Arabidopsis thaliana: one gene and its partner. The protein of the gene in region 1 binds, or shares a complex with, the protein of each later gene. Each region holds a gene or a part of one and is shown in the gene's direction. Other genes may lie near its edges.

The links.
Region 2: NRPD1B (region 1) and NRPE5 share a complex: the UniProt entries of both Arabidopsis thaliana proteins name them as parts of the RNA polymerase V complex.

The regions. Positions count from the first base shown.
Region 1 is NC_003071.7:16,712,543-16,717,723, forward strand, and holds the start of NRPD1B (nuclear RNA polymerase D1B), read left to right. Parts: upstream 1-1,917; 5' UTR 1,918-2,182; intron 2,183-2,537; 5' UTR 2,538-2,546; coding exon 2,547-2,627; intron 2,628-2,883; coding exon 2,884-3,010; intron 3,011-3,101; coding exon 3,102-3,217; intron 3,218-3,313; coding exon 3,314-3,361; intron 3,362-3,694; coding exon 3,695-3,859; intron 3,860-4,025; coding exon 4,026-4,184; intron 4,185-4,268; coding exon 4,269-5,181. Other genes in the region: AT2G40020 (Nucleolar histone methyltransferase-related protein), read left to right, coding at 55-311. UniProt on the Arabidopsis thaliana protein: DNA-dependent RNA polymerase catalyzes the transcription of DNA into RNA using the four ribonucleoside triphosphates as substrates.
Region 2 is NC_003074.8:21,123,967-21,128,821, forward strand, and holds NRPE5 (Eukaryotic rpb5 RNA polymerase subunit family protein), read left to right. Parts: upstream 1-1,870; 5' UTR 1,871-1,911; coding exon 1,912-2,163; intron 2,164-2,915; coding exon 2,916-3,092; intron 3,093-3,184; coding exon 3,185-3,298; intron 3,299-3,378; coding exon 3,379-3,504; 3' UTR 3,505-4,109; downstream 4,110-4,855. Other genes in the region: AT3G57070 (Glutaredoxin family protein), read left to right, coding at 208-1,461; AT3G57072 (uncharacterized protein), read right to left, coding at 1,733-1,870; BIGYIN (Tetratricopeptide repeat (TPR)-like superfamily protein), read left to right, coding at 4,661-4,753. UniProt on the Arabidopsis thaliana protein: DNA-dependent RNA polymerase catalyzes the transcription of DNA into RNA using the four ribonucleoside triphosphates as substrates.

The DNA.
Region 1 (5,181 bases):
ATCTCAACATAAGAAATGAAACATTCTTTTACTGCGGTCAAAATAATTGATTAGGTGTGGAGAATCTTCATTGTGGATGGCTAATTGATGAGGAGGAGACGGATCCTGAGGAGGAAACGGATCCAGAGGAGAAGGAGACCGAGCCAGAGGATCCAAAGGAGAAGGAGACGGAGCCAGAGGAGGATAGTGATGGTGATGATGATGAGATCATTCAGCTTACTCCAGAACCTCTTTGTGAAGAACTTCAAGAGCTTCTCAGGGAAGTACGTGGACAGAAGAGGAGGAAGAAAGAGATGAGGTGGGACAAGTAAAGGAGCTATGGAGCTCCTGTAAGTAGCAAATTGATATATATGTTAGGAAGCCAAATAGTAGTAGTAAGCTATAGTATTGTGGTGAAAAAAGGTAAAACGACCCATCTTAACATCTCTTGAGATATTGGTTTTTAATAATTTGTGATGGAGTAGAGAAAGCAGATAGTCTTTATCAGTAGTTGTATGAGTCATACAATAGTACCCGAACCCACTTATCCAAAGATCAATGTCGAAAGTGGAAACCAAATCCCTCTAAAGTAAATTGAATAGCCAGTCTAAAAGTTAGACCAAATCTGAAAGTCGGTTTAATTGCAATTATACCTTCTAAATGCAAGAACCAATATCAACCGGTACTTCATATTCTTTTGATTTTTGATTTGTACATATAAACTTTTTTTTGTACATATAAACTTAAATGCAAGTATAGCTTGACTTGTATTTTACACATCAGCGGAAAAGTTTGAGAGAGGAAGCATATTGTATTTCGTTTGGTTACAACTTTTGCTAACTTTTACAATAAATGGAATGAAATTTTTTTCCACTTAATTCCTCCTGAATAGAAAGAAATTGATGCAATTTTGTTCCCTTTTTAAATCCATGAGCCAATAAGTGCATCTCCAATTATATTCCAAATTTCACTCTAAATACTAATTTAGAAAAAATCCTTTTAATACCACTATATTCTCAACTCTAAAAGGGAGTGATGAATATGGTATGATATCATCTGTCACTTCATTTTGGAGTTACCCTTTACTTTTTATTTACAAAATATTTTCCTAAATTTATACTCATGTTCTTCATTTATGTGTAAACAAAATTATATAAATGAAGAAAAAGAGTTATTGTTAACCTTCTCCATGTTTTCATTATAAATTGATATGAGCATTGGTTACCGTTCTTTCGGATAAAAACGAAGTTTATCTCTTGAAAACATTGTTCCTTTCATATTCATATCGCATCAATATATAATTGAAAAGTTCATTTATGGTGATCGATCAAATATATAACAAAATAAAATGAAAAAATACTTTAACATTTTATATATAATTTTTGAAGACAAAAGAGCTGTTTTTTTGTCTTTAATTGATTGGTCAACTGTTTACATATTCATTTTTTTGGTATGAACTATTTACAAATTCATGAATACAAAAAATATCTCAAATTTTTTTTTACAAGTCGATCCACTTAGTTCTTACCGTTTTTTTGGTATAACCATTATTTTATAAAACATCGTTCCCGCTAGATTTTTATCGCATCAAACATAGCGTACTACAAACGGAAACGGTCATCTATGGCGATCGATCAAATATACAACACCAAAATCGAATCCAAAAAATAGTTTACTTGAAGTATTTATATGTTTTGCTTCACTGCTAATTCTATGGTTTTGAAATCCTTTATTCTTCTCAAAAAAAAAAAAAGTTTGTCAATGGTTGTTGACATGGTCTTGCATAATATGTGGATAAATATTTGTTTTAATCATTTTCATCATCATTGCATATTCCCAAGTGTTATCAATTGTTTGACAAATAAAGAAAAATTAAAATTGATACCTTTTTATTTTAGTTAATTAATAACGAAACTGAAAATATTTCTCCCTTTGCATGCAATGTGGGTTTTAAAGACGGAAGCTGAAGAGTGAAGAAGAACAAAAGATTTTTGAGAGAGAAAAGTAGAGTCACTCCAAAATTGTTCTCTCGCAATCTTCTTTCTCGGTTTCCTCTTTTAAGAAAAAGTCCGCCATTTTCACTCTCACTCAGATTTCTTCCCTCTTCTCACCTGCAAAAACCCTTGTTTCCCGCTGTTTCGTTTCTTCTCCGGTTGAGGAACCAAAACGGGTCAAATACGCAGCTGAATCATCGAATTCTTAGGTATTTTCGTCTTACCCAACTCTTATCTTTAGATGTTTTTCCGGGAAAAGAGCTCGATCATGACTCCGCCGTGTTTTTTTTTGGGGGGGGGGGGGTTTCTCCGAAATGGGTTTCAAATGTAGGTTACTCTAGGTTTGAAAGTTCGGATTTTTTGGTTCACTGTGTGTTACTACAGCTTCGATTTTGTGTAAACGAGTATAAAAATTGTATCTTTTACAGATTTGAGAACTTGTTCTTCAAAGACTTGATTTTTCTTTGTATCAAGTTAGTGAGCTCAAATGTCTTTGTTTCTCTGTTTGTTTACATCTGATAAGAGCTAACTCGGTCTCGCTGGTGTGTGATTTTCGCTCGTTAGGGTTTTTTCATGGAGGAAGAATCTACATCAGAGATTCTTGACGGAGAGATTGTTGGAATCACATTTGCTCTTGCTAGTCACCATGAAATAGTAAGTTATAAGAGTTATACTCTCTGGAATTGATCCATCTTGTTCTGCATCAATGTTTATCATGGGTTTTACATAACTGAAGGATTTCGAATAGCTAAAACCTCTATGTTTTGGTTATCTTTGGCACTAAATTCACTATAATTGTACTCAAGCTCTGTGTGATGCTAAGTGCTACACTTTTGCATATAAATGTTGTTCTGCGATATATCCTCTGTCACTATTCCATTTCTCACTGGACTGTAATTCTTTCTTGCAGTGTATTCAATCGATTAGTGAATCCGCAATTAATCATCCCAGTCAACTCACTAACGCATTCTTGGGGTTACCTCTTGAATTTGGTAAATGTGAATCTTGCGGTGCGACAGAACCAGATAAATGTGAAGGTAATCCAGTTCCGTAGTTGCTATATTTTTGTTCTTACATCATTTGTTGGAATACTTCTTCAGATATCGGTATTTGTTTCTACATTTTCAGGTCATTTTGGTTATATTCAGCTTCCAGTGCCAATATACCATCCTGCTCATGTTAATGAGTTGAAACAAATGCTGAGCCTTCTGTGCTTGAAATGTCTGAAGATAAAGAAGGCAAAGGTATTACCTCATTGAGTTTTCTTAAATTCCATGTGATCCACACATAAATAAACCATATAAAATCTCGACTAATCTTTTTCACCTTTCTGAGTACAGGGCACAAGTGGTGGTCTGGCGGATCGCTTGTTGGGTGTCTGTTGTGAGGTGAGTAATGGCATATACATTCTGATTGTTTCCTTTTAAGTTTTACCTGAAAGCAAGTTGATAGATGTTTCTTATGTGAACCTGGTTCAGCATTTAGTTAGTTTTTCTAAGTTTTCCTTCAACTAGTTGCATGTTAGAAAACTTGCTAATTCAAATCTAAATAGTATTTGTGCTTCTTTTGATCCATTCAGTGAAAGTAACATTAATCAATGCTTGTGAAGCAGTAGCTATTGGTATTTTCGTGGCATCATGAAACATTCACTGCTTTATGTTATTTTGGATGTTATTATTGCTGAACGTCTTGGATTTTTAACTACTATATTACTTTATTAGGAAGCTTCGCAAATCTCAATCAAAGATAGAGCATCAGATGGTGCCTCATATCTAGAACTGAAGCTCCCATCTAGGTCAAGACTGCAGCCTGGTTGCTGGAATTTCCTGGAAAGATATGGTTATCGCTATGGAAGCGATTACACGCGTCCCCTGCTGGCAAGAGAGGTTTTTACTTTCTTCTGTGTGTTTATGTTTCTGTTTATGTAGGATTTTATGGTGACGTTCTTTTTGTTCATTTGGAATCATTCTCTATCTTTAAGATCTTTTCTTTCTGGAAACTGATGATTATGTACTTTCCGTGTCCTTTTCCATATGGTGGGAAAACAAATAGGTTAAGGAAATTCTAAGACGGATCCCCGAAGAATCAAGAAAGAAACTCACGGCAAAGGGACATATTCCTCAAGAAGGATACATACTAGAGTATCTTCCTGTCCCGCCTAACTGTTTGTCAGTGCCAGAGGCTTCTGATGGTTTCAGCACCATGTCAGTGGTAAGTTGAAACTAAATTACTATGTTGAGTTGAATGCTTTGGCTTGTGTTGTAACCCCTGGATTTGTGTCATTCTTATTTTCAGGATCCTTCCAGAATTGAGCTAAAGGACGTTCTGAAGAAAGTCATAGCCATAAAAAGCTCTAGGTCTGGCGAGACAAACTTTGAGTCGCATAAGGCTGAAGCCAGTGAGATGTTTAGAGTGGTGGATACCTATCTCCAGGTGAGGGGTACTGCAAAAGCGGCAAGAAACATTGATATGAGATACGGGGTGTCTAAGATCTCGGATAGTTCATCTTCAAAAGCTTGGACAGAAAAAATGAGAACACTTTTCATCCGTAAGGGTTCAGGTTTCTCTTCCCGTAGCGTCATCACTGGAGATGCTTACCGACATGTGAATGAGGTAGGGATCCCAATAGAAATTGCGCAGAGAATCACATTTGAGGAAAGGGTTAGTGTCCACAATAGAGGTTATCTACAAAAGTTGGTAGACGACAAGTTGTGTTTGAGTTATACTCAAGGTTCTACGACCTATTCTTTAAGGGATGGATCCAAGGGGCACACTGAGCTTAAACCCGGGCAGGTTGTTCATCGCAGGGTCATGGATGGGGATGTTGTGTTTATCAACAGACCCCCGACAACACATAAACATTCTCTTCAAGCGCTTCGGGTGTATGTTCATGAAGACAACACCGTGAAGATTAACCCTCTGATGTGTAGCCCCCTCAGTGCTGATTTTGATGGTGATTGTGTCCATTTGTTCTACCCTCAGTCTCTTAGTGCTAAGGCAGAGGTTATGGAGCTCTTCTCTGTGGAGAAGCAACTGCTTAGCTCACATACTGGACAGCTGATTTTGCAGATGGGTAGTGATTCTTTACTGTCTTTGAGGGTAATGCTGGAGCGGGTATTTCTGGACAAGGCAACTGCTCAACAGTTAGCTATGTATGGCTCTCTGTCCCTGCCACCACCAGCACTAAGGAAGTCCAGTAAATCTGGCC
Region 2 (4,855 bases), on another chromosome or scaffold:
ATCAACATCGTTTCTTTCTTCTGCCATTAAATTTCACCATCTTCCACCTTCAACTGCCCTAGACAGCTATTCTCCACCTTTCTCTTTTCTCTCTCTGTTCTCTATCATTCCCAGAGATAACCAAACAATCTCAGAAGAAACCAGAAAGAGCAAAGAAACTAAAAACTATTATTCATTAAAGTCAGTGTTTTTAAATTCGATTTCGTAATGGGTTCTTCTGCTTCAAAGACCGCTTCTTCCGTTTCTTCTGCTTCTTCCTCATCTGCGTTTTCTCCACCGCCGACCAAATTCAGCTCCGATTCATCTTCACCGGCGGTGCAGAGAGCTTTTTCGTTTCCGACGCCGTTGGTTCACCATCCTCCGGCGAGAAAAGGCGACTCTCATCACCTTGTTTCCCTTACATCTACATCGTACGGTTCTCTTCTCCTCCTTGATCTCGATGGATCCAAAAACTCCTCTTCCGACCAACAAACGCTGCCTCGTATCTCAATCTCCGGGAAGAACACACCAGATCCGGTCTCTCCTGATTCAGTCATAAACACTTGGGAGCTTATGGATGGCTTGGACGATGAATTCGAATTCGAAATTCCCAAACCGGGTAAGCGTCTAAATTCGGATTTTTGCTCTAAACCCGACCCGAATCGGAATGTGAGTTTAAATGGGTCTTCGTTGAAATTGGATGAATCTTACGAGATTGTGAGAATCGAAGAAGACGATGGAGATTGGGTTCCTTTGACTTATAAACCTAAGCAACCTTTGTGGAAGCATTTGTCTGAAGAATCATTTCTCTCTGATTTAGATCCCAGCATTGTCTCATCCTACAAGAAAGCTTTGTCTTCTAAGCTATTAAGCAATCATAGTAATACTAGAAACCCTCATAGACCCACAAAGTCTCTCTCTTGTAGCCCATCATCAAATCCATCCATCTTAATAAGCGAAGAACCAAAATCTGTATCCTCTAGTCAATTGATTTCATCACCAGCCAAACCGAGATTACCAGGAACAGAAGACAAGATTGTACTCTACTTCACAACCCTCAGAGGAATTCGAAAGACATACGAGGATTGTTGTTGCGTTAGAGCGATATTGAGAGGAGTTCAAGTGTCCGTAGACGAACGTGACATCTCTATGGATTCCAAATACAGGAAAGAGCTTCAAAGCGTGCTTGGCGCCGCAGAGAAACCGGTTTGTTTGCCTCAGGTGTTTATCAGAGGAACTCACATTGGTGGCGTGGAGGAGATTATGCAGCTAAATGATGGTGGTGAATTAGCAGAGATGTTGAAAGATTTCCCTGCTTGTGAACGCTTGGGGACATGCCGGAGCTGTGGTGATGCAAGGTTTGTGCCTTGTACTAACTGTGATGGTAGCACCAAAGTGTTTGAAGAACAAGATGAACGGTTTAAGCGGTGTCCTAAATGCAATGAGAATGGATTGGTGCGTTGTCGTGTGTGTTGTCTCTAAGTGATCAGTTTGATCAAAAGATGTGTGTGAGAAAGGGGATATAGATTGATTGACTAAACATGGTATTTGGTTAGTAATGTATATTCAAATAAGTAAGTTGGCTCAAGCCTTTTATTATTTACTCTTATGAGTTGTGTTCTTTTGTTCCATTTACGCTCTTGACCTTTTGAACTAAATGATTCTTACTATATGAAGTACATCAAATGGTAGATGATGATTGATAATTCGCATAATAGCCGAATGATTTGCTTTGTTTGCAAGGTATTTTTTATCAATGAAAAATATGTGCAACATTACCACAAATGTAGTTTGATTGATTGATGTCACCTGCTCGCTCACCTATATTAGCTTTCTTCCTTCTGTTCTTAAATCCTAAAACGACAACGTTTAGTCTCCCTTTAAATCCCATCACTGGACTCGACGACTTTTGCTCAGATAAGGGAGACAAAAATGGAAGTGAAAGGGAAAGAGACAGCTTCGGTTCTGTGTCTGAGCAAATACGTGGATCTATCGAGTGAAGAGAGTCATAGATACTATCTTGCGCGGCGAAATGGCTTGCAGATGCTCCGAGACAGAGGCTACGAAGTCTCCGACGAAGATATCAATCTCTCCCTTCACGATTTTCGAACTGTTTACGGTGAACGTCCCGATGTTGATCGTCTTCGCATCTCCGCTCTGCATCGCTCCGATTCTACCAAAAAGGTATATCGAAGTATTTTCGTATTCGTTGTGATTTTTCGATTTCTAGCTGTTTTTTTGTCTTTGCATGTTGTGGGGTTTACTGTTTGGCAGTGAAGAAGATGATGGAATATGAAATTTGTGACTCTTTTAAATTTCTTATCTTCTAATTGAAGTTTGAATTGCTACTTTTGTGGATTCAGATGACTAAAGTTTACTACTTTATTGTCCTTATCAAGTAGCATACCTCATTTGTTTGTCCTCTGAATTTTTGTAATGTGAAATGTTTCTGGTAACAACTAGCAAAGTGATTCTTAGATCTCTTCCTATGGCTATTGAACATTCGGACAATTCATTGAGTGATCTCTTCAATCTTTAGAGTATGGTCAATGTCAAATGTGCGAGTTCTGATGATAGCTACAAGTTTCCATGTTTAATTCTAGAATGAGATTGAACTGCAAAAGAACGGTTAAGTTGGATATTTGTTGAAAATCTTACCCCTTTTCTTGTTGGTTGTTTGGTTCATGTTACCTCTTTTTGTATGCTTATAGACATGCTTGTCACCTGCTTTCAACTAGTCGATTTCATATATTGATTGCTACAAGATTTTTGTTACTTATAAATGTCTTCTATTTTCAACTCATGATGTTTCTTGCATCAGCTCTAGTCTTATGGCATAACGACAGATATCTCATAGTGATTCTCTGGATATAGTAACATTGTGTTATTGGTTTAAAGGGTCTGCTTCAAGAAGTGTTGTGATTTTGCTTGTTCAGGTAAAAATTGTCTTTTTTGGTACTAGTATGGTTAAAGTCAACGCAATCCGCAGTGTAGTAGCGGATATACTTAGCCAAGAAACCATAACTGGGCTGATATTGGTTCTGCAAAACCATGTAACCAATCAAGCCTTGAAAGCCATTGAACTTTTTTCTTTCAAGGTCGAGATATTCCAGGTTGGTACACCTATATATTTTCCTAATCTAATTTTTCTTGGTTAGTACTTCAAATCTGTAACATCTAGTTTCCTTTTTGCTGTCTTGTTAAGATAACGGATCTGCTAGTCAACATAACCAAACATTCACTGAAGCCACAACATCAGGTGTTGAATGATGAAGAGAAGACAACACTTCTCAAGAAGTTCAGCATTGAGGAAAAACAGGTCCATTATCCATTTCTTGCAGCTAAATAAAAGTAATAGTCTCACTTTTTGAACCGTTCATCCCAAAATTTATTTAACAGCTTCCTCGGATTTCAAAGAAAGATGCTATCGTCCGGTACTACGGATTAGAGAAAGGGCAAGTTGTGAAGGTGAATTACAGAGGCGAACTCACGGAATCGCATGTTGCCTTCCGATGTGTGTGGTGAAGAAACCAATTAAAAACCATCTTGTGTACTTATTTTCAGGAAAAAATAACTTGTATGTTTCTAAGGTTTTGTTTTTAATCCTAGAAGATCCGTTGCTTTGAACACAAGAAAAAAAGTTAAGGAAAAAAAAAAGATCCTTTGCTTGTTCTTGAAAACATTACCATTTATGTTTTCCGTACAAAGAGCAGTCACTACACGCTATCAATACACAAAAACAGGCCATGGAGACTCCAACATTTCTTCAGAGGTTCGAGGACAATCAAAGCTCATTGATGGATCGGTTTGAGCGGTTATCTTTCGAGGCTCACCTCAACAATGCCTTGCTTGGTCGAAGTTTATCTGAGTCAGGCTTCTCTTTGATGTACAGTGCAGTCGTCGATGATTCCCCGATACATACAGCAGCTCCGGCTAGCCAAGCCCGACGACGACTAGGACTGAATAAGATACTAAAAAATCTGATGAAACCAATTAGATATTGTAGCAAAAAAATGGGCAGGGGAAGAAAAGAAGAGGCGTGTGATATTGATCCAAAGAGTTTGAAGAAGTGGCAAACTTTCAGCAAATCTCTCCGATTATTTTGATGCTTTTATAAGTCTTGTATTTTCTATGGACATGAATATATATGTATTTTAACGTTAAACTGTTATTCAATTAAACAAAATACATCACCTAAATTAAAATCGACAACAAAAAAGTACTATGATCTAAAATATGAAATTTGTTGCTTCAGATATTTTTAATAACTTAAAAAATAGAAATTACTTTTACAAACCATCAATAGTAATAACTGCTTGATTGAGTTAAAACTCCACGTTAAACATCTAATCGTGAAAGATTAAATCAGTTTTTTTCCTTTTCTTATCTAGTTGTTATGAATCTTGTAAATTTATTGGAAAAAATCAGTAATACACCATCACATGTCACAGAAGTTTTTTATTCCAAAGGGTTGTTAATAACAAAACAGAAGATATGGTGATCAATGTGGGTAAGTCTTAACAATACAGGGGTCTTGTTGATAAATTCAAGGGATAAATATCGTCTGTTTCCCTGAGCTTGGGCAACAAGTCCAACTTCTCTCCTTAAGAAACTCTCCTTAAGAATTAAGAAAGAGACCAGAAACGAAAACCTCATCAATCAAAGCTCAAAATCGCCTTCAATGGATGCTAAGATCGGACAATTCTTTGACTCCGTCGGTACTTTCTTCAGCGGCAGCGATAAGATCCCATGGTGCGACGGAGATGTCATCGCTGTAAGTTTTCTCTATATCCTTCATTTGTTTCGCTTTTTTCCGCCTATGTTTCCGAAGAAGATGAACCATCTCTTGTAGGCAAATGGAATCATGAACCATTTG